4 linked regions of the Canis lupus familiaris genome follow. The protein of the gene in region 1 interacts with the protein of each later gene in a pairwise test. Links are inferred from orthologs where the notes say so. Each region holds a gene or a part of one and is shown in the gene's direction. Other genes may lie near its edges.

Region 1 (5,640 bases):
TCAGCGGTTTAGCGCCACCTTCAGCCCAGGGCATGATCCTGGAGACCTGGGATCGAGTCCCACGTTGGGCTCCCTGCATGGAGCCTGCTTCTCCCTCTGCCTGTGTCTCTGACTCTCTCTCTCTCTCTCTCTCTCCTCTGTGTGTGTGTGTGTGTCTCATGAATAAATAAATAAAATCTTTAAAAAAATCTTCAACATCATGCATCATCAGGGAACTACAAATCAAAACCACAATGAGAAAATAAATTTATAAAAAAAAAACACAATGACATACCAACTCACACTGGTCAGAATGGCTAAAATTAACAACTTGGAAACAACAGATGTTGGTGAGGATGCAGAGAAAGGGAAACCCTCACACACTGTTGGTGGATATGCAAGCTGGTGCAGCCACTCTGGGAAACAGTATAGAAGTTCCTCAAAAAGTTAAAAATAGAACTGCCTTACCACCCAACAGTTGCATTACTAGATATTTACCCAGAGGATACAAAAATAGTGATTCGAAGGGGCACATGCACCCCAATGTTTATAGCAGCACAATCCACAATAGCTAAAACATAGAAAGAGCCCCAATGTCCAACAACTGATGAATGGATAAAGATGTGATATATATATATATATATATATATATAATATTCCATTACATATAATGAAATATTAATCAGCCATCAGAAAGAATGAAATCTTGCCATTTGCAACAATGGCATGGGTGGTGTTATGCTAAGCAAAATAAGTCAGTCAGAGAAAGACAAATACCATATGATTTCACTCATATGGAATTTAAGAGACAAAACAGATGAACATGGGGAAGGGAGAGGGAAAATAAAATAAGACAAAGACAGAGAGGGAGGCAAACCATAAGAGACTCTTAAACATAGGTAACAAACTGGGGGTTGCTGGAGGGGAAGTGGGTGGGGGGATGAGGTAACTGGGTGATGGGTATTAAGGAGGGCAAGTGATGGTATGAGCACTGGTTGTTGTATGCAACTGATGAATCACTAAATTCTAAATTCTACCCCTGAAACTAATACTACACTATATGTAAACTAACTTGAATTTAAATAAAATCTTGAAAGATAAAAAAAGAACATTTAGCATTAAGTGTTGAAATGTGAAGAGAATCACTAAAATCAAACCCAAGAGTCTACAACCATACCACCCTGAAAGTGTTCCAATCCTATCTGATCTTGGAAGCTAAGCAGGGTCAGGCCCGGTTAGTATTTAGATGGGAGAGTAATACATACTAAGGGACTATTTAAGTCCATCTATTTAAGACCTCTTGGTTTGTTTTTGGTTTTGGTTTTTCCATCATCAGCTACCTAGGAAGTAGTGTTCAGAGTTAGAAAAAAATTTTTAGTTTTTTCTGGATCATGAAAATTTTAACTTTGTCAGAATAGTGGGCCTTTTCCAGTAAAAATCTTAAAGATTCTAGAGGCAATCTGTTCTGCCCACCTTTGAAAATGAAATACATACCACAATTATGCCAAGGAAAGTGAAAGAGATTATGCTACATACATAATAGAGATGAAATTCAAAACAAAATCCAAAAAAGTTATGTCTCAAATCGCTATCCATTTGGTACTGCACCAGGGATTTCATCCAATGGAACTCCTGGTCTGGAACTCAAATTATAAAATTTTATTCCCCAACGCCAGTATTTCACATTTTTATGAAATTGTGACCTTAAAAAAATAAGTAAATAAGAGAAAACAGATTCTATCTCAGAAGAAAAGTCTTTTATAGCTTCCTTGCCCCTATTCTGAACTGTATCCAATGAGGGTTTAGTTTCCCAAGAAACTAAAAGATTGTAACTTAGAAATTGTATTTCACTCTTATTATTAATACAGGTGAAAATAGTATACATAATCTAAAAATGAGGCATAGGTAACATAGAGAAAGCAAGTTTCAGGAAATCAAAGATCACAACTCCAGATCTTGATAACCAGTTTGTATTTTGGCCTGCAGGCCACAGATTATGCCCATCAGTTATTTATAAAGTGACTTTTCAATTTGCACACAGGTAGATGTAGTTCATACACACACACACACACACACACATATGCATGTGCACACACACTTTAAACCCAGTACACACCTCACTCCTCTACCATGTGAGCACAACAAGACCATAAAAAGCATTGCAAAGATGGTTAACTACATGGAACATTTTATGATGGTACACAAACAAATAAATGGCATTTAATGAGATGTAATATGAATTTTAAAAGGATAGATAAACAATTTACAATACAGGAGCAAAATCTGTGATAATATCATTTTTGTTATTTGTAATCAGTTGTATCTGCAATTACTGAGTGCCAAATGTCCTCTGCCTTTCTGTATTCTACCAAAAAGATAATGCATCTCATGAAGATTCTCTGAACCAAGCGTCTTATCCTACTGGCAGATGGAAATATTGCCCTTACTTAGTAACCTGAAGCTATGCCTCTTTTATGAGGCATAAAACTTCCTCAGAAAACAAACAACACTAATGAATGTTCATATGAAAACTGGCACCAACAGTGATAAACAGAACATCCGGTATGTTCTGTAAATACCCATTTGCAGGCTGTATAAAAGTCTCAGGAGGGATGGAGACTCTGGGAACCAGTCAATTGGAGTTTTGCAACTAGTCTTGTTCTTCACTTCTAATAGGATGACTTCTGACTGTTTCCCCACGTGCTGCTCTTCTGAATCCTGTGCCCAGGCTTCCGACTGTGCACTTGCTTCAACCTGTTCCATGGAGGCCACCTGCCTCCCCAGTGCCCCTGCTACATCCAGATGCCAGACCCCTAGCTTCCTATCCAGGTCTCGCTTGCCAACTAGTTGCCTCACACCATGCTACTTTGCTGGGAATTATAATATTCCTTGCTTGGTGGGGAACTGTGCTTGGTGTGAGGATGGGGTGTTCAACAGCAATGAGAAGGAGACGATGCAGTTCCTGAATGACAGACTTGCCAACTATCTAGAGAAGGTCCGTGGCCTGGAAGAGATGAACGCAGAGCTCGAATGCAGGATTCGAGAACAATGTGAAGAGGATATCCCACTGGTGTGCCCTGATTATCAGTGTTACTTTGACACTATTGAAGAGCTTCAGCAAAAGGTCTGGTGTTTCATTGCCCTAATGCTTCACCCTCCCAATCTGTGATTTGCTTTATCTTTATACTAAAAAAAAGGCTGTTCTATGGAAGTTCCCCCCATCCCCAGGGAAAGGGGTTCTCCAGGAGGAAAAGGTGGTGGGCTGAAATTCAGCAAAAATTAGCATGAGCCGTGGGGCTGCCAGTAATCATTGAATGGCCAAAATAAACTCACTCACAACTACCTATGGAGAAAAATCCAAGTTCAACTGCCAAGGAATATTGCAAAATGTTTTAGGCCACTGAAAAACGGACCCTTTTTATTTCTATATTTATTTTATGAATGGTCCTGCTTTTTTCTTCATTGAAGTGACATGCTTAATAAGAAAAATAGGCTTCAAGCTATTTTATACTGTCTTATAAAGACTTTTAAAAGATAAATAATGGTATAGTTGTTAAATGAATAAATATTTAAGTTTCTTTCAAAGAGCCCTCTAGTATATATAACTAACTTACTTACCAGATCTTATGCACGAAGGCAGAAAATTCCAGACTTGCTGTGCAACTTGACAACTGCAAACTGGCTGCTGATGACTTTAGGTCAAAGTAAGTTAAATTTGAATTTGAAAATAATTCATGGCTGTCTCTCTCTCTCTCTCTCTCACACACACACACACACACACACACACACGTGCACACTACAAATATTCTCTACATAAGCTTTTTTTAAGCTAAGAATGCTCACAAAGCTCACATTAATTGGGATATAGCTTCCTTGAGTCGTTGTGTCATTCATCAGCATGCCCAGCATCTTGCACAGTGTCTAGCAAAATAAGCACCATCTGTATCTCTTTTGCTGTGAAAGGTATGAGTCTGAACTGTCTCTTCGCCAGCTGATAGAGACGGACATTGGTGGCCTGCGTGGGATCCTGGATGAGCTGACTCTGTGCAAAGCTGATCTGGAGGCCCATGTGGAGTCTCTGAAGGAAGATCTCCTTTGCCTTAAGAAAAACCACAAAGAGGTAAGGAAAGTGTAAAATTGCTGAATGAATGTGGAGGTGACAAAGTCAAACTGATAGATTTCGTTTTGTGTATATAAATCAAACTCGGGCAGATATTGCTAAAGCTGGAACAAAATTACTCGAGGCACTAATGTCCAGCCTGATGACTCTGGCATATCTCTGGGTGTATATGTGAAATGGGCCCTGGCTAGTACCACTTGAAAGACCAAATTGTTCACCTGCTATTGCTTTCGTGAAGGAGGTAACTTTACAAATGGCTTTCCTTGGAGGCTTTATGCCACATAACTCTAATCCATAAGCTACAAAAATCAGGCTGATAAACACAGGGCATGAAGGCCATTTCAGAAAGGGGATAACATCTTATGCAATATTTGGACCAATATTTTAAAATATTCTACATCTATAAACTTTCTAAATCATAAAATACGAAGTATATGACTATCTCATGTTGATAAAGCTAAAAAGTGAAAAACTTAATGATGTAAAATGGTATATTTTCCCTTTGAGCATGTGTTGATGATAATAGCATTTATTGAGACCTTCCTATGTGCCAAGGACTTTCATAAGTGCTTTATATGAACATCAACTCATATCTCTCACAATAACTCTCTAGGAAAGGTAAAATTATTATACACCTTTTGTGGATGCAGAGACTGAATGATGAAAAGAGAGTCAACCTAAGCAATCTGAATCTAAATCCCACACTTTTACTCACTTCTCCAGAAATTGGATGCTCTTGGGATGTCAAGGTGAATTCTTCTTCCCCACCACTCTGTGACTTTCTTTACTCCATTTCCTCTTTCAGGAGGTTGACTTGCTTCGTGGACAGTTGGGTGACCGACTCAGTGTAGAGCTGGACACTGCCCCCACCATCGACCTCAACAGGGTCCTGGAAGAGATGCGTTGTCAGTATGAAACCGTGCTGGCCAACAACCGTAGAGACGTGGAAGAATGGTTTGCTGTTCAGGTCAGTACCCAGAGCAAGAAAATGACAAGCTTCCAGACTTCTGCCTTATTTGCATCCTCTAATCATACCTGGTTTACAGACAGAGGAGCTGAATCAGCAGCAGCTGTGCAGCGCAGAGCAGCTGCAAGACTGCCAGACAGAGATCCTGGAACTGAAACGCACAGCCAATGCTCTGGAAATTGAGCTCCAAGCACAGCAAAGCCTGGTATGTAAGGGAAAGACAGCTCTGTTTTTGTCACTGAAGAATTAAGCCCTGAGATGCTAGTCCCTCTTCCATGAACCCAAGGAGAGATCCACAGTTCATGTGGCAGAAAGTCTGAATTTCCAATATGCAAGGATTGTATTCTTTGACTTACCCAAATACTGCTGTTTACTGAGCTAGAAGCAGAAGTGATAGGTCAACAGTCTGTACTGTCCCAACAGGATTCCCTGACCTTCCCTCCTGGGCTTGAGCATGATCCTGCAGCACCTTCCAGAGACAGAAAAAGAACAGGAGGGCAGGAGCAGAATGAGAGTGGAACCTCTGAGCTGAAGGCACTGAAGCATTCCAGTGGGTTTTAATTGTGCTTTGATT
Region 2 (5,669 bases), on another chromosome or scaffold:
TAGTAGCTTCATATAGCACAAATTTACTACCTCAGTGTTGTTGATTAGGAATTGGAGAGTGGCTTAATTAGGTGGTTGCATGAATTTGTACCGAAGCTATAAGCCAATGCTGCAGCCACCCAAAGGCTTGACTAGGGCTGGAGGATTCACTTCCAAATTGATTCTGTGGCTGTTGGCAGGAGTCCTCAATTCCTCCCCAAAGGTTTGCTCATGACGGAGCAGTTGACTTCCTTTAGAGTGAAAGATGAAAGAGAAAGAGAGAAAGAGAGAGAGAGAGAAAGAGAGAGAGAGAGAAACCAAGACAAGCTACAAGGTTTTTTTAAAAAAATTATTTTTATTTATTTTGTTAATTTCAACTCTTATTTTTAAATGTTAAACTTATTACAGGCTGATCAAGTAAGATCAAAAATGACTTCTTTAAACATGCAATATTTGAAATTAGAAAGTTTTGACTTAGAACTAATATTTTTTAAGTTGCAAGAGCATTTTATGAAGATGTTGCCTGTTTCAAATATAGAGTAGGATCTTCTCTTTCACTCCACTTTTTAAGACCAGCAAAGACCAGGGATATGTTTCTTTGGGTTCTCCAAATATTCCATCAGAGTTTCCTCTCCACAGATAACCCCTTTGTTTTTGATAGCACTGGAATAAGAAAATCCTAGTGCTTGTCCTGTTTTTCATCTCAAAAGGCCCAGGGATTTGGACCAGTCTTGTGTTTTCCACTTTTTTCCACTGTGTGGCACTGAGTACATTTAAAAAAAAAAAAAAAAAAGAAGATTTTATTTATTTATTTGAGAGAGAGAGCACAAGCAGAGGGAGCGGCAGGCAGAGAGAGAGAGAGAAGCAGACTCCTCACTGAGCAGGGAGCTCCATGTGTGGCTGGATCCCAGAACCCTGATCACCACTGAGTGGAAGGCGCACATTTAACCGACTGAGCCACCCAGGTGCCCCCACATTTTTAAATAAAGATCTTCTTGCCTGCTTCAGCATCTCCCATCTTGTTCACAGGGTTAGCGGCTCTGCCCACTGCTTGCATGGAGAACACTTAGCAGTCACCCAGGCTGCTGGTGGGCCAGAAAGTGCACTACAAATTTGAGGCTGGTGTTCTCACAGTCGTGCCTCAAAGACCAGTGCTGGATGCCCAGCCAGGCATGTGCTCACGTCTTTTACAACCTAATCTCAGAAGTGACATACTGAGGAGGTGGGGATGGATCACTGAGGTTAACATGGAGTCTAGGTACCACACAAGGCAAAATCCAAGGTCTGAGTATGAAGTTATAACTTGAAACTGCAGTATGTGATGTGAAATAGTATAAGCTAATGTATTTGTACATTCACCAGTCCACGAACTATTCTAAGCACATTACATATATCATCTCATTTAACCTTCACAACAACTTCATGAGGTAGGCGTTGTTATTATCCAGAAGGGAAAACCGAAGTACAGACAGGTTAGTGGCCAAGTGGGAGTACTCTTATAAAGAAAGACTTATCAGCACATGAACTTGAGCGTCGGGGAAGGTCATCCGCTGCAACCAGTGTCCGTTGTAGGAAAATTTTACTGACTGATGAACCACCTGTTAGTTCTTCAACTGCTGGATCCATGAAATGGGAGGATTCATTTTCAGCTGGCCACAGCCGCTACCCAGGGGCAAGAGACAATCCAGCCAAATGCAGTCACAGGCCATTCATTTAATAAGCAGTGGGAACCAAAAGTAAACCAGAAATTCTCCCCTGATGCGATCCCTAGAATGGTTCCTAAATAGGTTCTCAAGGACTTCTCTCTGCCCCCAAGGCTCTTTCTAACTTTGAGTAACTTCTGAGGTCTAGAGAAGTTAGGAAGAAGAAAGTTTCACTTTTGAAGGAAGCCAATCAGACCCCTGAATGTATCAGGTGGGCTGTGGAGAGGACTAGAGAAGGCTCAGTGTTCTTGACTCCTCCCCACCATGCGCAGGGTGGGGTTCCCCAGAGCAGGCTATTTCTCCGCGCACATTCCCAACGCTCCTGCACAATGGAAAACGCCCTGCAACGTTTCTACTCGCTTCTGCCCAACTTTCCTGTACTCCGTCAGCTCCTCCCTTCCGGCACCACCCCAACCTGTTCTTGCTGCTATTCACAAGATTCCTTTACCTTCTTTCCTTTCTCCAGAGTTCTTTCATTTTTCCCTCCGTGTCTGTTGTTTGCAGCCTGCATCTTTCCAGCCTTTCGCCTCCTTGATTCTGCCCTACAAAGCTTTGTGGCCTGTGCTGACAAGTGCCCGAGTGTCTGATAAATGACTTTAATGTCAACAAACGGGGGCGGGGCGGGTAGAGTAAGCTCCGGGAGTCGGGAGGCGACCCGGGAGGTGAGCTGACTCGGCCTGCTGGGGCTGTCCGTGTGACCGAGGCCTCCCGCCTCCGCAGGCCCGGGCTTGCAGGAGCCCTTGAGCCCCGCGGCGGAGCAGGCCCGGGCCGCTGACACCACTGCGTCCCGCGGCCGAGAGGGCGCGGCGGCCTCGGCGGGCTGCAGGTGGGGGGCGGCGGCCTGGCCCCCACACGCGGCAGCTCGGGGCCGGGTGCCCGGGCTGGGGGGTCCCCTGGGGCAGCAGGCCGCGCCGACGCCTGGGCCTGGAGCGCGTCCAGGGGCCCGGGTGGGGCCGCGAGCACCCAGTCAGCCGCTGGGGCACGCGGGCCGCGGGTGGGGCAGCGCGGGCGGGCGGGCGCGCAGGGACACTGTTTGCACAAGCGAGGCCGAGGGTTTGAGCCGCCTTCCCTCCGTCTCGGCCCCGCTGGACGCCGCGTGGCCCGGGGCCACCTGCTGGGGAGCGCGGGCCCCGCCCGGTAGGTGCGGGGGGCGGCGGGGCCAGGGGGCAGAACGCGGGACCGTGCGGGTGGGGGCGCGGGAGGCGCCGGCCCCAGGGGGAAGGCGAGCACTTCTGGGGCACCGGGAGGGGCGCGGGCGCGTCACCAAGCCCAGGCGGCCGGCGGGGGTGGGCGAGCCGGGAGCGCCGGAGCACCCGCGGGGCCTGTGCCTGCCGTGGGTCCGGGCCTCCTCCGCGGCCCGGCACCGCGCTCCCGCCCCCGCCGACGAGCGCCCGCGCCCGCGCCCGCGCGGAACTCCGCCGCCCAGACCTTCCGGGACCGCGGGGCAGCCGGCTCCCCGGGGCCCGCCCGCAGGACGGCAGCCCAGCCTCGGTCCTCCCAGTCGGGTGGGCGCCCTGCCCGCCCCTGCCCGCTCTGGCCCTCGGGTTCGCGGGGGCACCGAGAGCCGCGCGCGCAGGTGCCAGTTTATAGGCTTCCTTAACGGTATCGTTCCCTTCCCAGGGCGCAGGGCGCAGGAGCAAGGGCACCTCTCTCTAATCTTAGTCTCCTCACCTCCTAAAAGGGTTTTTTGTTTGTTTGTTTAAGTAAACACGAGCACCCGCCTGAACTCAGAACAGGGAAATCAAGATTGCGCATGCCCTACCCGCAGAGCCAGCCAGGCCCCCGCCTGAGAGGCTTCGGATTGCGGACGGAATACTAACGACTTGGAGCTTTAGAAAGTGAATAAACACGTGGAAGTCCTATGCAGGCGTAGATTTGGCCCATGAGTGCAATTTCCTAGATAAATCTGTACAGTCGTTTCACATTTCTGAAGAATGGCACATATGTACAAAACTTACCAAATTGCTATCACCTCTGGTAAATCATTTTATCCTCAAAAATAGCCCTTTTGGGGCACCTGGGTGGCTCAGTGGTTGAGTCGGCCTTGGACTTAGGTCCTGATCCCCAATGAGTCCCTCATCCGGCTCCCCACAGGAAGCCTGCTTCTCCCTCTGCCTACGTGTCTCTCTCTCTGTCTCTGTCTCTCATGAATAAACAAATAAAATCTTTAGAAAAAAAATAGCCCTTTTGCAGATAAACTCTATTAAGTGAAGTTGAATAAGATAAATGAAAATCTGAAAATAGCCAGCCATTTTAAAAGAAGTACAATTCAAACTATATTCAAACTATATTCATTTTCTTAAAAGATTGTATTTATTTATTATTTATTTATTTATTTGAGAGCGAGAGAGGCAGTAGGGGGAGGAAAGGGGGGACAGGGACAGACTCCATGGTCAGTGCCAAGCCAAAGGCAGGACTCAATCCCACTACCCTGAGATCCTGACTTGAGCCAAACCAAGAATGGGATGTTTAACTGACTGAACCACACAGGTGCTCTAAATTATATTCTTACCATTAAAGTTTTACTGTCCATATTACATTACTGCTATAATTTAGGCTTTATCTACCTGCCCCCCCCCCCCAAGGTCTTAGAATCATGAGAAACACAATTTTTATTTTGTCGAACAGGGCTATGGATGATGTGAGAGTCAGGCCAAATGTATGTTATCCTGGAAAACAACTGATCCTATCACCCTTTAGAAATTTAGTTTTGGAATAAATAGCAGATTTGGGCTTGTTGCTTGTCATTTCCTTTTTTAAGTAAAGTGCTATATGAGAAGAAAACTGAGTTAGCTTAGCTTTTCTTTTTATTGGATCTTGAATAACTGGAAGTTTGCTGCTCTCAAGTGTGTTAGATGAGGAAAGTCATTCAAAGTTTGAATCAGTGTCAGTGGTTGTCCTTTCAGGGACTGAAAGTGGGAAAAACCCTGGTTAGTTTCCTCATTCCTGTTTCCTCTACCCTACCTCCACTTGTGTCTGTAACTTCACATAGACTATGACATAGTCTTCACATTACAAAGATGTATGGTGCAGTTCCTCATTTCACGAATGGGAAAACAAAGTAGTGAAATGACAGCTGAAGGGCACACAGCTCTTCAGAAGCTCATGCTGGGGTCCTTGCTAGGTGTTCTGTGATCACCCTGTGCTGAGTTTTCCTTCTGAAAGTGTAAGGGAGGAAGGAGTTAATTCACAGCCTTAGAATGGCATGAATATTATTCATCTGCCTGACTCCAAGGCAAGTGCTAGCTGAGTATCCACTGAGGACACAGGGAAGCCAGTGTCTTTCCTTCGAGATCCAGCAGTTAAGTTTAATGCTAAAAATCCATGTTTGCCAGAAAAGGCAAAACAAACTCAAATTAAAACTGTGAAAGAGCATGAGTGTCTCATGGAACTCTTCACACCTGTGAGAGGCTGTACCATTTGTGCAACTCCTGATGGCTGTGAGAGGGGAAACTGAGAACACGAAGTACCTGTGAATCAAGTCGGCAAACATGTACACATGGGCCACTGTAACATTTCCCTGCTTCCTTCCTTGGGGGAGGTCTTTTTCATACCTGACCTCCCCTCAGCTTATCTACAGTTACCTAGATGAGGCTTCTGCCCCTCAGAGGCATTGTGTGTCACGCACCTTCAAGTCAGCATTTACATTGCTGTAAGATCCTACTGTTCTTCATTCTGAAATTTCATACATGGTACCATATCCTGATGATATGCTGATTCTGAGCTTATAGAGAAACTCTGTTGTGCTATTGGAGGACAGTAGAGCCAACTTAGAGTCAGACTGCCCAGTTCTGCCACTCTCCATCTTCTTCATCTGTGAAAGGGCAGTAGGGATCCCCAGGGTAACTGTGAAAATATAATAAGTTAATACATTCAAGGTGCTTGAGGTAGTGGCTGGCACAGTGCGTGCAAGCTCTTATCGTTGGGAGTACTGCGGGCAGGGGAGAGGGGAACAATGTGAATTTGGCCCTTTCAGGGTTCCAGGTT
Region 3 (5,498 bases), on another chromosome or scaffold:
GTAGGGAGGAACTGAGGCATTCCCACCAACAACCAGCACCCAACAACCAGCACCCACCAGCCAGCCAGGTTGAATGAGCCATCTTGGAAGCAGACCCTCCAGCCTCAAACATTCAGGTGACTGCAGCCCTGGCCAACATCTTGACCACAATATTTATGAGAGACCCTGGGCCAGAAAGCCCAGCAAAAGCATCCCTAAATTCCTAATCCACAAAAAACTATATGAGACAGTTCGATGCTCAGTGCCTGGAATGGTGCCTGGCGCAGAGTCAGAGCTCGATATGATGGCCATCATCGTGAGCATCTAGCAGATCTGGGGATGCCTGGGTGGCTCTGTCAGTTAAACATCCCAACTCTTGGTTGCATCTTAGGATGTGATCTCCAGGTTGTGAGATCTAGCCCACTTCGGGCTCACACTGGGTGTGGAACCTGCTTAAGATTCTCTCTCTCCCTCACCCTCTCCCCTCTCCCCCTGTTCAAAGGCTCACTGCCTCTCTCTAAAAAAGAAAAAAAAGAAAAAAAGAAAGAAGAAAGAAAGAAAGAAAAGAAAGAAAGAAAGAAAGAAAGAAAGAAAGAAAGAAAGAAAGAAAGAAAGAAAGAAAGAAAGAAAGAAAGAAAGAAAGAAAGAAAGAAAGAAAGAATCTAGCAGATCTGGTTCATGTCGGAGCTGGATCAGTTTCCCACCTGTTTCCTCCCTGCTTGTCACCCACCCTGGCTGCGACCTCCTTCTCCTCACTGGTAAGTGGAGATTATGTACTATATATCACAGATACGTGTATAACAAGAGAGCCCCTCCACACCTCCCCACCTCCCTCAGTATAAAATCCCAGGTCCTCTATGCAGCTACAGGCCTGGCTCTCAGCCTGAAATTCCACATTCAGTCACAAAGAACCATGAACTGTTTACACTCATTAATAGGCTCCAGACGGGGCACACAGACCCACAAACAAAGCTTTGGAGGTCAAGTAGAAAACATTAGAACATCTATACTTTTTCATCTCCGTTTCTTTTGGTGTGTGTGTGTGCGTGTGTGTTAAAGAATAGCTTTATGTAATAGGGGCCTCTGGCTGGTTCAGTGGGTGGAGCATGTGACTCTTGATCTCAGGGTCACGAGTTCAAGCCCCACCTTGGGTGTGGAGCCTATTTCAGGGGAAAAAAAAAATTGTGCTGGCCCAGAGGATTCTCAACCTTCCGATTTACAGTGCAGATTCCCAGGCACCCCTGGACTACAGGCTGTTGCTGGACTGCTAGGCACCAGTGACCTCTATTTATCCAACAAGCATCTCCTCCTTCGCCCAACTACCTCCAGCTGTGGCACACAGTAGGCGGCTTAGTGACTCGTTAGGCTACCCCATGCCAGGTGCTACTAAGCGCTCCACCCCGGGTCTCGAATCCTGGCAATCACACCCAGCCACGATGTAGCCGCTGTTATCATCCCCATTTTACAGAGGAGTAAACTGAGGTGCAGACAGGTCCGGACGTAGCCGCGGAAGAGCCTCAGAGCGAGGAGGGGCCCCAGGTCCCGAGGGAGGGGAGCTGCGAGAGCGATGAAGTGGGGAAGCGCGAGCTGGGGGGGGCCCGGAGATTCGCGGCGGCCTTGCGATGCGGCCCCGCCCCCACGAGGGACGTGAAGACGCGGACCCCGCGCAGCGTGGGGACATGTGACCGACTGCAGAGGCCGCGCCGCCTCCACCGCCCGAGGCCCGCGCGCTCCGCCGCAGGGTGCAGACCCCCGGCGCCCGCGGGGCCTGGGGCGCGAGGGCAGAGGCGGAGCCGGGGCGGAGCCAGAGCGCCCCGTCCACGCCGTCACCCCCAGCAATCGAAAGCGAAAGAGGGGGCCGAGAAGGAAGGGCGGAGCCGCCCGGAGGCCCCGCCCCCTGCCCTGCGCGGCTGCTGGACCCGGGCGCGCCCAGGTAGGGGGGCTCCGAGCGCGCAGTGCGGCCCCTCGCGGAACCCGCGCCGCCGCCGCCGCCACCATGTCTCAAGAAGGTGTGGAGGTAGGAGATGCCTGCGCCTGGGCCGGGGGCCCCCGAGAGGCGCCGGGGGCGCCGAGGGGGCTTCGCAGTTCTGGGGACTCCATCCGAAGCCCAGACCTTACCCCTGGCGGGCACTCGCCCCCCCTCGGAAAGGATAATGACCGCCCCGGCCCCCCAGAGTGAGATGCGGCCTCCTCGAGGAAAAGGGGGGCTGCAGGGTCAAGGGTCAGAGGCCAGGTTACCTGGCCGGCCTCCTCCCCTAGCCGGGGGCGCTCGCCCCACTCCGCTCCCTCCCCCAATGCCCGGTGGGGACTTTGGCTTCTCCCAGGAAATGCCGTAGAGGGATGGTGGGGGAGGCCAAAAGCAAGGGTCAAGTTCGGGCGGGGAGAAGGATGCCTAGAGATGGAGGAGGGCAAGTCGCCCCTCTCCTTCCCCGATCGGAACCCCCCTGTGCCCACCCCAGCTGGAGAAAAGCGTCCGGCGCCTCCGGGAGAAGTTTCATGGGAAGGTATCCTCCAAGAAGGCGGGGACTCTGATGAGGAAATTTGGCAGCGACCACACCGGAGTGGGGCGCTCCATCGTGTACGGTGAGCCGGCTGGGGTCCCGGCCCTGGTAGGGGAGAGGAGGGGGGAGCGCGCGAGGGAGGTGTGGTCTGTGTGAAGAAGCGCCGCGCTCATCTTCTGGGGAGGGTCTATATTGGGGTTCTGGGGACCCTGAAACTCCCAGAAGATCCTTCAAGGACCTTTTACTTACACTTAACTCTTGCCACCAGGGGTAAAGCAGAAAGATGGACAGGAACTGAGTAATGACCTGGATGCCCAGGTAAACTGCCCCTCTTGCCCTCCAAGGATGGGGTAGCTGGGGACCGGGAACGGAAGGAACCTGGTGTATCCATGATGAGCCCCATCTGTGCACCACCAGTTCCTAGTTCATGATCCACATTGACTTAGTCACCTTTTAGTCATGCGTCTGACCCGGGAGCCTGCAAACTGTCGGCACTCATTACATGTTGGTGGTATTAAGTGGGGGAGAGAATCGTGAAATTGGGCGGTGAAATGAATCAGGACTGATGTCATTACAGAGGACCCCTGGAGGTCAGTCGGGAAAGGCTTCCTGGAAGAGGTGGTGCCAGCTTTGATGCTGGGGAGAAGGGATCCTGGGTGGTGGGGGAGTTGGAAACAGTCTTCCTGGAAGAGGGAACAGAGTGAGCAAAAGAACACGCAAGACAGGCTAAGATAAACATGAGATGGGGGAGGAGAGAGGGCAGGGGAGCCCATATGATGAATGAATGGCTTTGAGGCACAAATGCAACATGGCTACTTTACACCTTAAATGACTTTGGTGGCCAGTGCACTGTGCATTTCATCTTCCTATAAGGCCCCCCCCATAGTTGCTGAAGAGTATAATAAGGTACATATTGAGTTATTTATATTTACATGTGTAAAGGGTATGATAAAGGTAATAGGAGGGGCGCCTAGCTGGCTCAGTCTGGGGAGCATGCTACTCTTGATCTCAGGGTCGTGAGTTCAAGCCCCACATCAGGTGTGGAGCCTACTGAAAATAATTCTTTAAAAAATTATAGGAGGGACGCCTGGGTGGCTCAGCGGTTGAGCACCTGCCCCTGGCTCAGGGCGTGATCCTTGGTCTCAGGATCGAATCCTACATCGGGCTCCCTGCCTGGAGCCTGCTTCTCCCTCTGCCTACGTCTCTGCCTTTCTCTCTCTGTGTCTTTCATGAATAAATAAATAAAATCCTTTAAAAAATAATAATAAACAAATTAAAAATAAAAGTAAAAAATTATAGGAAAGTGAGCACTCCCCAGCAGCAGGCTTTCCGCGTGTTGCCTCCAATTCCAACCTGAAGGCACTCGCCAAGCAGGCCAAGCAGGTGGCATTTAAGCCGTTTCCACCTAGAACCATAGCTGCGCTCTGAGATGCCCCTCATTAGGGATGCAGGGGGAGTGATTTGGCTCCGCCCTCGCAGCGGGAAGTGCTGGAGTCGGATGGGAACCTGTGTCTGTCTGAATCCAGAGCCCAAGCCCTTAGCCTAAAGCGGCATGGACTCAAAGAGGTGACCCCTCACAGTGCCACCAAGTGTGTGGCATTTACCAGCAGGGAGGGAGCGCGGGGATCCAGGCCTCTTCTGCCATTCTCATTCAGGGTGATCTCCGGCCACCCCTCTCCCAGCTCTGCCTCAGTTTCTTTGTCTGAGCGGTGGGGATAATAGGTGTGCCCTCCACTGTGAGGACAACTGAGGTCGTGTACCTGGCCATCTACAGGCAGGCCCTGCTCAGACAGCCCTTCCTGAGTTAGGGACTCCCTACTCATATGGGGCCAGGACCCTGCCTCCCTCCTCGTCCAGGAGCCTCACCCCCAACAAATAATGGTAAAAAGAGGTCTGAGCTGCACCCGCAGTTCCTGCCCCTGATGTTTCCACCCAGGACCCACCGGAGGACATGAAGCAGGACCAGGACATCCAGGTGAGTCCGGGGTATGGGATGGGGGGAGGTGGAGTGAGGAGGACATCCTTGGGGAGAGTGGATGGTGTCCATGGACGAGGAGAGACATTATAGCAGCAGGAGAGGAGACTTACGCGTGTTCATATTAGCGGAGGAGGCGTGACCACCCTCTTGTCCCTATCCCGAAGGCCGTGGCGACGTCCCTCCTGCCACTGACAGAAGCCAACCTCCGCATGTTCCAACGTGCGCAAGAAGACCTCATTCCCGCCGTCGATCGGCAGTTTGCCTGCTCCTCCTGTGACCACGTCTGGTGGCGGCGCGTGCCCCAGCGCAAGGAGGTGATCACCCGATCCCCATCCTCAGTATCTGAACCTCTGACCTAAGAATGTCAACCCCTGAGAGCCCAACCCCTGACCTACAGTCTCAGAGCGTTCAGCCTCCACCTCAGGCCCCAGCCCTCCGACCCTGGTCGCGCCCAGAGCCCGACCTCTGACTCCACGCTGCCATGGAAATCCCAATCCCAAGTCTGGATTCTGACCCCCACCCCAGTAGTGGTGTGCTTCTGGTAAAGGCTTACCACCCAGCTAGCGCGGGGAGGTGGGGGGAGTGCCCCAGCTCTGTAGTGTTTGCCAGTTTCCATGGTGTAAGCATCCCCACTGCGGCCACTATCGAGCTACTGGGGCTCACTGCTAACGGGGAGCCTGCTCCCACTCTACACACCCAGGTGTCCCGGTGCAGGAAATGCCGAAAGCGCTATGAGCCGGTGCCATGCGACAAGATGTGGGGTGTGGCTGAATTCCACTGCCCAAAGTGTCGGCACAACTTCCGGTGAGGGTGCTGACCCCCACCCCACCCTCCGCCCTGCCCCCCCGCCCCACCCTCCACCCTGCTTCCCCAACCCCTGCCCTGCCCTCACCCTGGCCCAGGCCTTACCTTTGGACCCTTGCCGCCCTGCCCGCCCCCAGGGGCTGGGCACAGATGGGATCCTCATCCCCCTGCTATGGGTGCGGCTTCCCTGTGTATCCAACACGGATCCTCCCTCCGCGCTGGGACCGAGACACCGA
Region 4 (5,416 bases), on another chromosome or scaffold:
CCGTACCCAGGTATCCGAGGCTCCCCTGCTCCCCCTCAGGAGTCCGAGGCCACCCCTGCTCCCCCCCAGGTGTCCGAGGCCCCCCCGCCCCCAGGTATTCGAGGCTCCCCTGCTCCCCCCAAGGTGTCCGAGGCCCCCCCGCCCCCCGTCCCCAGGTATCCGAGGTTCCCCTGCTCCCCCCCCAGGTGTCCGAGGTCCCCCTGCCCCCCGCCCCCAGGTGTCCGAGGTCCCCCTGCCCCCCGCCCCCAGGTGTCCGAGATCCCCCTGCCCCCCGTCCCCAGGTATTCGAGGCTCCCCTGCTCCCCCCAAGGTGTCCGAGGCCCCCCCGCCCCCCGTCCCCAGGTATCCGAGGCTCCCCTGCTCCCCCCCCAGGTGTCCGAGGTCCCCCTGCCCCCCGCCCCCAGGTGTCCGAGGTCCCCCTGCTCCCCCCCCAGGTGTCCGAGGTCCCCCTGCCCCCCGCCCCCAGGTGTCCGAGGTCCCCCTGCCCCCCGCCCCCAGGTGTCCGAGGCCCCCCTGCTCCCCCCCCAGGTGTCCGAGGCCCCCCTGCTCCCCCCCAGGTATCCGAGGCCCCCCTGCCCCCCGCCCCCAGGTGTCCGAGGCCCCCCTGCCCCCCGTCCCCAGGTATCCGAGGCCCCCCTGCTCCGCCCCAGGTATCAGAGGTTCCCCCCCGCCCCCAGGTGTCCGAGGCCCCCCTGCCCCCCGCCCCCAGGTGTCCGAGGCCCCCCTGCTCCCCCCCAGGTGTCCGAGGCCCCCCTGCTCCCCCCCAGGTATCCGAGGCCCCCCTGCCCCCCGCCCCCAGGTGTCCGAGGCCCCCCTGCCCCCCGTCCCCAGGTATCCGAGGCCCCCCTGCTCCGCCCCAGGTATCAGAGGTTCCCCCCCGCCCCCAGGTGTCCGAGGCCCCCCTGCTCCCCTGCACGTGTCCTCTCCGCCCCTCGCTCCCCCCGAGGCGCCGGGACCGCGCTGGCCGGCCTGGGAGGCAGGTGGGCGGCGGAGGCTCCGCACCCGGGCCCGAAGCCGCCGCCGCGGGACAGACACAAGCCGCCCCCGGCCCCGCCGCCCGCCGCCCGCCGCCCGCCGCGTCACCTGTAGTTGTAGGCGCTGAAATGCTTGCTCTCTCTCAGCATCGCCCGGTACAGATCTAACACTTGTGCGCGGCTGGAGGCTGCCATTTTGGAAAGGGGGAAACAAACAAACAAACCCGCGAAGCGGGGCGTCTTCGGGAAGGCCCCGACGTCACCCAACCCGCTCGGCAAAGCCGCGGACGCGTGAACCGCGCGGCGGAGCCGGGCCGGGGCGGCCAGCGGGCCGGGAGCTCGGCAGGCAGGCGCAGGCGGGCGCAGGCGGGCTCGGGGCAGCCCGAGGGGGAGGCGCCGGCCGGGAGGCGGGCCCCGGGCGCGGCCGCTCCCCCCTCCCCCCCCCCGCGGGCCGAGGCGGGCAGAGGGGAAGCCGCCGGGACGGGGCCGAGCCCGAGGACGCCTCGAGCGCCCAGAGCCCGCCGCCCGAGAGCTGCCCGCCGCCGCGTTGCCATGGTTACCGAGCGCGCCGCCGCTCGACGCCCCGCCCCCGGCCGCGGAGGACCCGCCCCCTCGCGCTGGGGCTGCCCTCCGCGCTGCCTGAGGGCCCGAGCCGGGCTTCCGGGGCGCCTTGACTTTCCCGCGCTGTGTCTGTGGGTCCCCAGCGCAAGGGCGCTTCCGGGGTGCGGGGTCGCGACGCGGGGGCCGCCGAGGCGGTGGGGGCGAGGGACTCCCTGCTGTACGGCTCCGCTCGGGGCGACCGGCTTGGGGGCTTGAGAGCAAGGACCCCTCTCTTGCCAAGATGGCGGCGCCCAGCGAGCTGCGGGGGTCTCGCTGAGGCTGCGAGTGCGGCGGCGGCTTGGAGCCTCCCGGGGGGGTGAGCAGCGCGCAGCGCGGGGTGCCTGGGGGTGCCTGGGGGTGCCTGGGTCTCCTGCGGGCGGTGGGCGAGTGCTGGCCTGGTCGCGGCCGCGGTCGGGGGCGCTGGCTCGGGGCTCCCCTTCCCCGCCTGTGCTCTGAGCTCTCGAGCTTTGCAGGGTCCTGGGTCCTTCGGGGCCGGGGCCGGGCTGCTGCGCCCGCGGAGACCTGGGGCGCCGGGGCCGCTTCCGTGCATTTAGCCGACCTGATGATTTTTTTTTTAAAGATTCACTTATTTATTCATGAGAGACACAGAGGCGCAGGCAGAGGGAGAAGCAGGCTCCACGCAGGGAGCCCGACGCGGGACTGGATCCCGGGACCCTGGGGTCACGCCCTGGGCTGCAGGCGGCGCTAACCGCTGAGCCCCCCGGGCTGCCCCGCCGACCGGATGATTGTTAACGTGGCTTTTGCATTTCACCAAGAACTTGGTATTTTCCGGGACTTTAAGGGGCAGGAAGCGCCCGTCAGCGTACTTGCAACCTGGTGTCCCTGCGTGCACCCAGATGGCACTTGGTAATGTTACTCCTTGGGATGCAATGGCGTTTGAAAAGAAAAAATATAAAAGGCATGGAAGAGAACATACTTTTTTTTTATCATTATCATTTTAAAGATTTTATTTATTTTATTCATGAGAGACACACTCGAGAGGGAGAAGCAGGCTCCATGCAGGGAGCCCAATGCGGGACTGGATCCCGGGACCCCGGGGTCATGACCTGGGCCCAAGGGAGGCGCTCAACTGCTGAGCCACCCAGGTGTCCCCCAAACATACTTTTTTTTTTTAAAGATTTTATTTATTTATTCATGAGAGACACAGAGAGAGAGAGGCAGAGACCCATGCAGAGGGAGAAGCAGGCTCCTCGCAGGGAGCCCGATGTGGGACTCGATCCCGGGACCCTGGGGTCACAACCTGGGCCGAAGGCAGATGTTCAACCACTGAGCCACCCAGGTGCCCCAAACATACTTTTTTTTTTTTTTTTAAAGATTTTATTTATTTATTCACAAGAGACACACACAGGGAAAAGCAGGCTCCCTGCAGGGAGCCCCACGTGGGACTCCATCCCAGGACACCCGGGGTCACGCCCTGGGCCGAAGGGAGGTGCTCAACTGCTGAGCCACCCAGGCTTCCCCCAAACATACTTTCATTAAAATCTTTTTAAACCTCCTATTTGATTTTTTTTTAAGGCCTCTCATTTCTATGAACATCAAAATAAGGCTTTTTTTTTTTTTTTTTAAATAGGATACCCAAACTTCTGTCGCTCTTGCAGGTTGATCACGTCATTGGGCGAGTCTTCCCTCAGGATTATTCGAAGAGATTTTAATAGTTTGAGTTTGTCCTGGGCATTGCTTAAACGTTCAAGAAAGGAATTGCACGTTTTTACGGAGTAAGATCTAGAGCTTTTTTTTTTTCTTTCCGTGCTATGTGAGTGCTAATGACGTAAAAGGCGGCACCTGGGAAAAGGACACCATTCGTCCAAGTTACACATAGAGAAAGCTGGGGACCCCTGGGTTGCTCAGCGGTTGAGCGTCCAGGGCATGACCCCGGGGTCCTGGGATCGAGTCCAGCATTGGACTCCCTGCGGGGAGCCTGCTTCTCCCTCTGCCTGTGTCTGTGTCTCCCCCACCCCCATGTCTCTCATGAATAAATACATAAAATCTTAAAAGTACAGAGTGCTTCAGGTGGAGTACTGGGGAAGTGCTATGGGGGTCTCAGCGTGAGAGGTCACTTTCATGGTTGGGGCCTGGGCCACCCCTCAGATGGACAGTCAATGTGATTTTGACTAAGTTTCAGGGATTTTTAAAAAAATTCCCCAGGTGATTGGTTGCAGTCTGGTAGAGAAGCATTGATCTGTAGGAATTAGGGGGCCTTTTGGAGGAGGTGGTATTCATGTTGCTTGAGAGAATTTAGGTTAGCTAAATCTTTTTTTTTTCTAAATATTTTATTTATTTATTCATGAGAAAGAGAGAGAGAGAGAGAGGCACAGGCAGAGGGAGAAGCAGGCTCCATGCAGGGAGCCCGGTGCGGGACTTGATCCCAGGTCTCCAGGATCATGCCCTGGGCGGAAGGCAGGAGCCCAACTGCTGAGCCGCCCAGGGATCCTCAGGTTAGCTAAATCTTGAAAAGAATTCCGGGATTTGGATATGTGGATGTATTAGTAAGATGGTTATGAAGAATGTAGGTTTACCCTTACAAAGGGTAAAGGAAAGAGTCTGAGTGAGGGCTAGGGAAAGATGATCCTGGTCTACAGAACTCTGAAGCCTTATGAGGGAGGGAGTAGGAGAGTGCTTGACGGTGAGTGCAAGAGAAGTACCCGGAAAGGGCTGAAGCCAGCTGAGTCCTTGTAGGATCTCAGTTAATCCTTTGGAACCTTGATGGGAAAGAAAGCTGTTAATTGCATTTAAAGATAGGGAAGCTGAGAAGTTAGATTACTGAGCTGGAGGTAAGCAGCTAGGAAGCGGGGAGGGTAGGCATTGGCCCAGGATATGATCTGTCTAGCTGTGATGCTACACTGCTTTACAGACAGTCTTCAGTGGAAGCTTCAGGAGTTTGAGGTGTTTTAATTTTTCTTGGATAACATGGGTAAATTTCAGATGTATTTGAAGTTTAATTTCGTTGGATTCCCACTTATTTGTGAAGCTAACTGGTTAGCCCCTGACAAATATTCAGAAAATCGCAAATGTTGATTTTTATATTCGCTTTTTAGTCTTTTAAGAGAAATTTACATTTTTTTCTATTACCATTTTTTTTTCCCTATAACTATGTCTTAGAAAAGACCTACATCGAATACCTTTTTTAGGTTGTCTGTTCTTATGTGCCACAGATATTATTATCTCATGGGGAATTTCTGAGACTCACCTTTCTATAGAAGCTCTTTTCAAATATACCTAAGAAAATCTGTTCTCTGAGAAAGTTAGAAAGCAGCTATATAATCTAACTTCATTGATTGGAGGATAAGAGTTCCCCTTGTGGGCAGCAGCAATAAAACTGACAATCGATTTTATGTAAAGTGTATCAAATGTCACTTCTAGAGGATTTTTTTTTTTTTTAAAACAAATTCTTTGCCTTCTGAAGGAAAGAAACCATCTTTTCCTAATACAGACTCCTACCAACTTCGGAATTCTTTCACAGTGTGGTTTATGGTAGTATTCTGCTACAGATCACCTTCATTTTTTATACTAGTTATGAGGGATAACTTAAAGGAATGATGTTTTTTTGTTTGTATGTTTTCTAATGATTTGTTAATCAACCAGCTATGTGTGATGGTAATGACAGCTATTATTTATTCAAAGTGCATTTTCTCTTCCAGCAGCTTTGCCAGGCAGTTCACCAACATGTCAGTAATTCTTATAAAGACCCATTTGAAGCTCTGATGGACTTCTTTGAGTGGGGAGTAATACCTGCCATCTCTTGTTTGTCCAGATTAGTTGGTCGTTTACAGAAAACACTTAGGATCTGCAGTGCTGACTATGCTGTTTGGAAGAAAAAAACA

Evidence for each region.
Region 2: the proteins of KRT40 (region 1) and SH2D4A interact in binary tests that used the Homo sapiens proteins (3 or more experiments, as listed by UniProt). The two-hybrid records come from large-scale screens. The link is inferred for Canis lupus familiaris from reciprocal best matches to the Homo sapiens genes KRT40 and SH2D4A.
Region 3: the proteins of KRT40 (region 1) and SHFL interact in binary tests that used the Homo sapiens proteins (3 or more experiments, as listed by UniProt). The two-hybrid records come from large-scale screens. The link is inferred for Canis lupus familiaris from reciprocal best matches to the Homo sapiens genes KRT40 and SHFL.
Region 4: the proteins of KRT40 (region 1) and FARS2 interact in binary tests that used the Homo sapiens proteins (3 or more experiments, as listed by UniProt). The two-hybrid records come from large-scale screens. The link is inferred for Canis lupus familiaris from reciprocal best matches to the Homo sapiens genes KRT40 and FARS2.

Annotation. Positions count from the first base shown.
Region 1 is NC_049230.1:21,657,966-21,663,605, forward strand, and holds the start of KRT40 (keratin, type I cytoskeletal 40), read left to right. Parts: upstream 1-1,865; 5' UTR 1,866-2,656; coding exon 2,657-3,103; intron 3,104-3,597; exon of another isoform or gene 3,598-3,600; coding exon 3,601-3,683; exon of another isoform or gene 3,684-3,942; coding exon 3,943-4,099; intron 4,100-4,814; exon of another isoform or gene 4,815-4,904; coding exon 4,905-5,066; intron 5,067-5,134; exon of another isoform or gene 5,135-5,145; coding exon 5,146-5,271; intron 5,272-5,422; exon of another isoform or gene 5,423-5,535; intron 5,536-5,640. UniProt on the Homo sapiens protein: May play a role in late hair differentiation.
Region 2 is NC_049237.1:22,873,409-22,879,077, forward strand, and holds the start of SH2D4A (SH2 domain-containing protein 4A), read left to right. Parts: upstream 1-2,016; 5' UTR 2,017-2,344; intron 2,345-2,354; exon of another isoform or gene 2,355-2,508; intron 2,509-2,649; coding exon of another isoform or gene 2,650-3,356; intron 3,357-5,099; coding exon of another isoform or gene 5,100-5,175; intron 5,176-5,669. Other genes in the region: collagen alpha-2(I) chain-like, read right to left, coding at 2,650-3,356, 5,100-5,175. UniProt on the Homo sapiens protein: Inhibits estrogen-induced cell proliferation by competing with PLCG for binding to ESR1, blocking the effect of estrogen on PLCG and repressing estrogen-induced proliferation. May play a role in T-cell development and function.
Region 3 is NC_049241.1:51,360,055-51,365,552, reverse strand, and holds the start of SHFL (shiftless antiviral inhibitor of ribosomal frameshifting protein), read left to right. Parts: upstream 1-1,845; 5' UTR 1,846-1,975; coding exon 1,976-1,996; intron 1,997-2,438; coding exon 2,439-2,562; intron 2,563-2,748; coding exon 2,749-2,798; intron 2,799-4,416; coding exon 4,417-4,455; intron 4,456-4,622; coding exon 4,623-4,772; intron 4,773-5,158; coding exon 5,159-5,262; intron 5,263-5,399; coding exon 5,400-5,498.
Region 4 is NC_049256.1:6,681,426-6,686,841, forward strand, and holds the start of FARS2 (phenylalanine--tRNA ligase, mitochondrial), read left to right. Parts: upstream 1-1,763; 5' UTR 1,764-1,890; intron 1,891-2,224; exon of another isoform or gene 2,225-2,441; intron 2,442-5,416. UniProt on the Homo sapiens protein: Is responsible for the charging of tRNA(Phe) with phenylalanine in mitochondrial translation.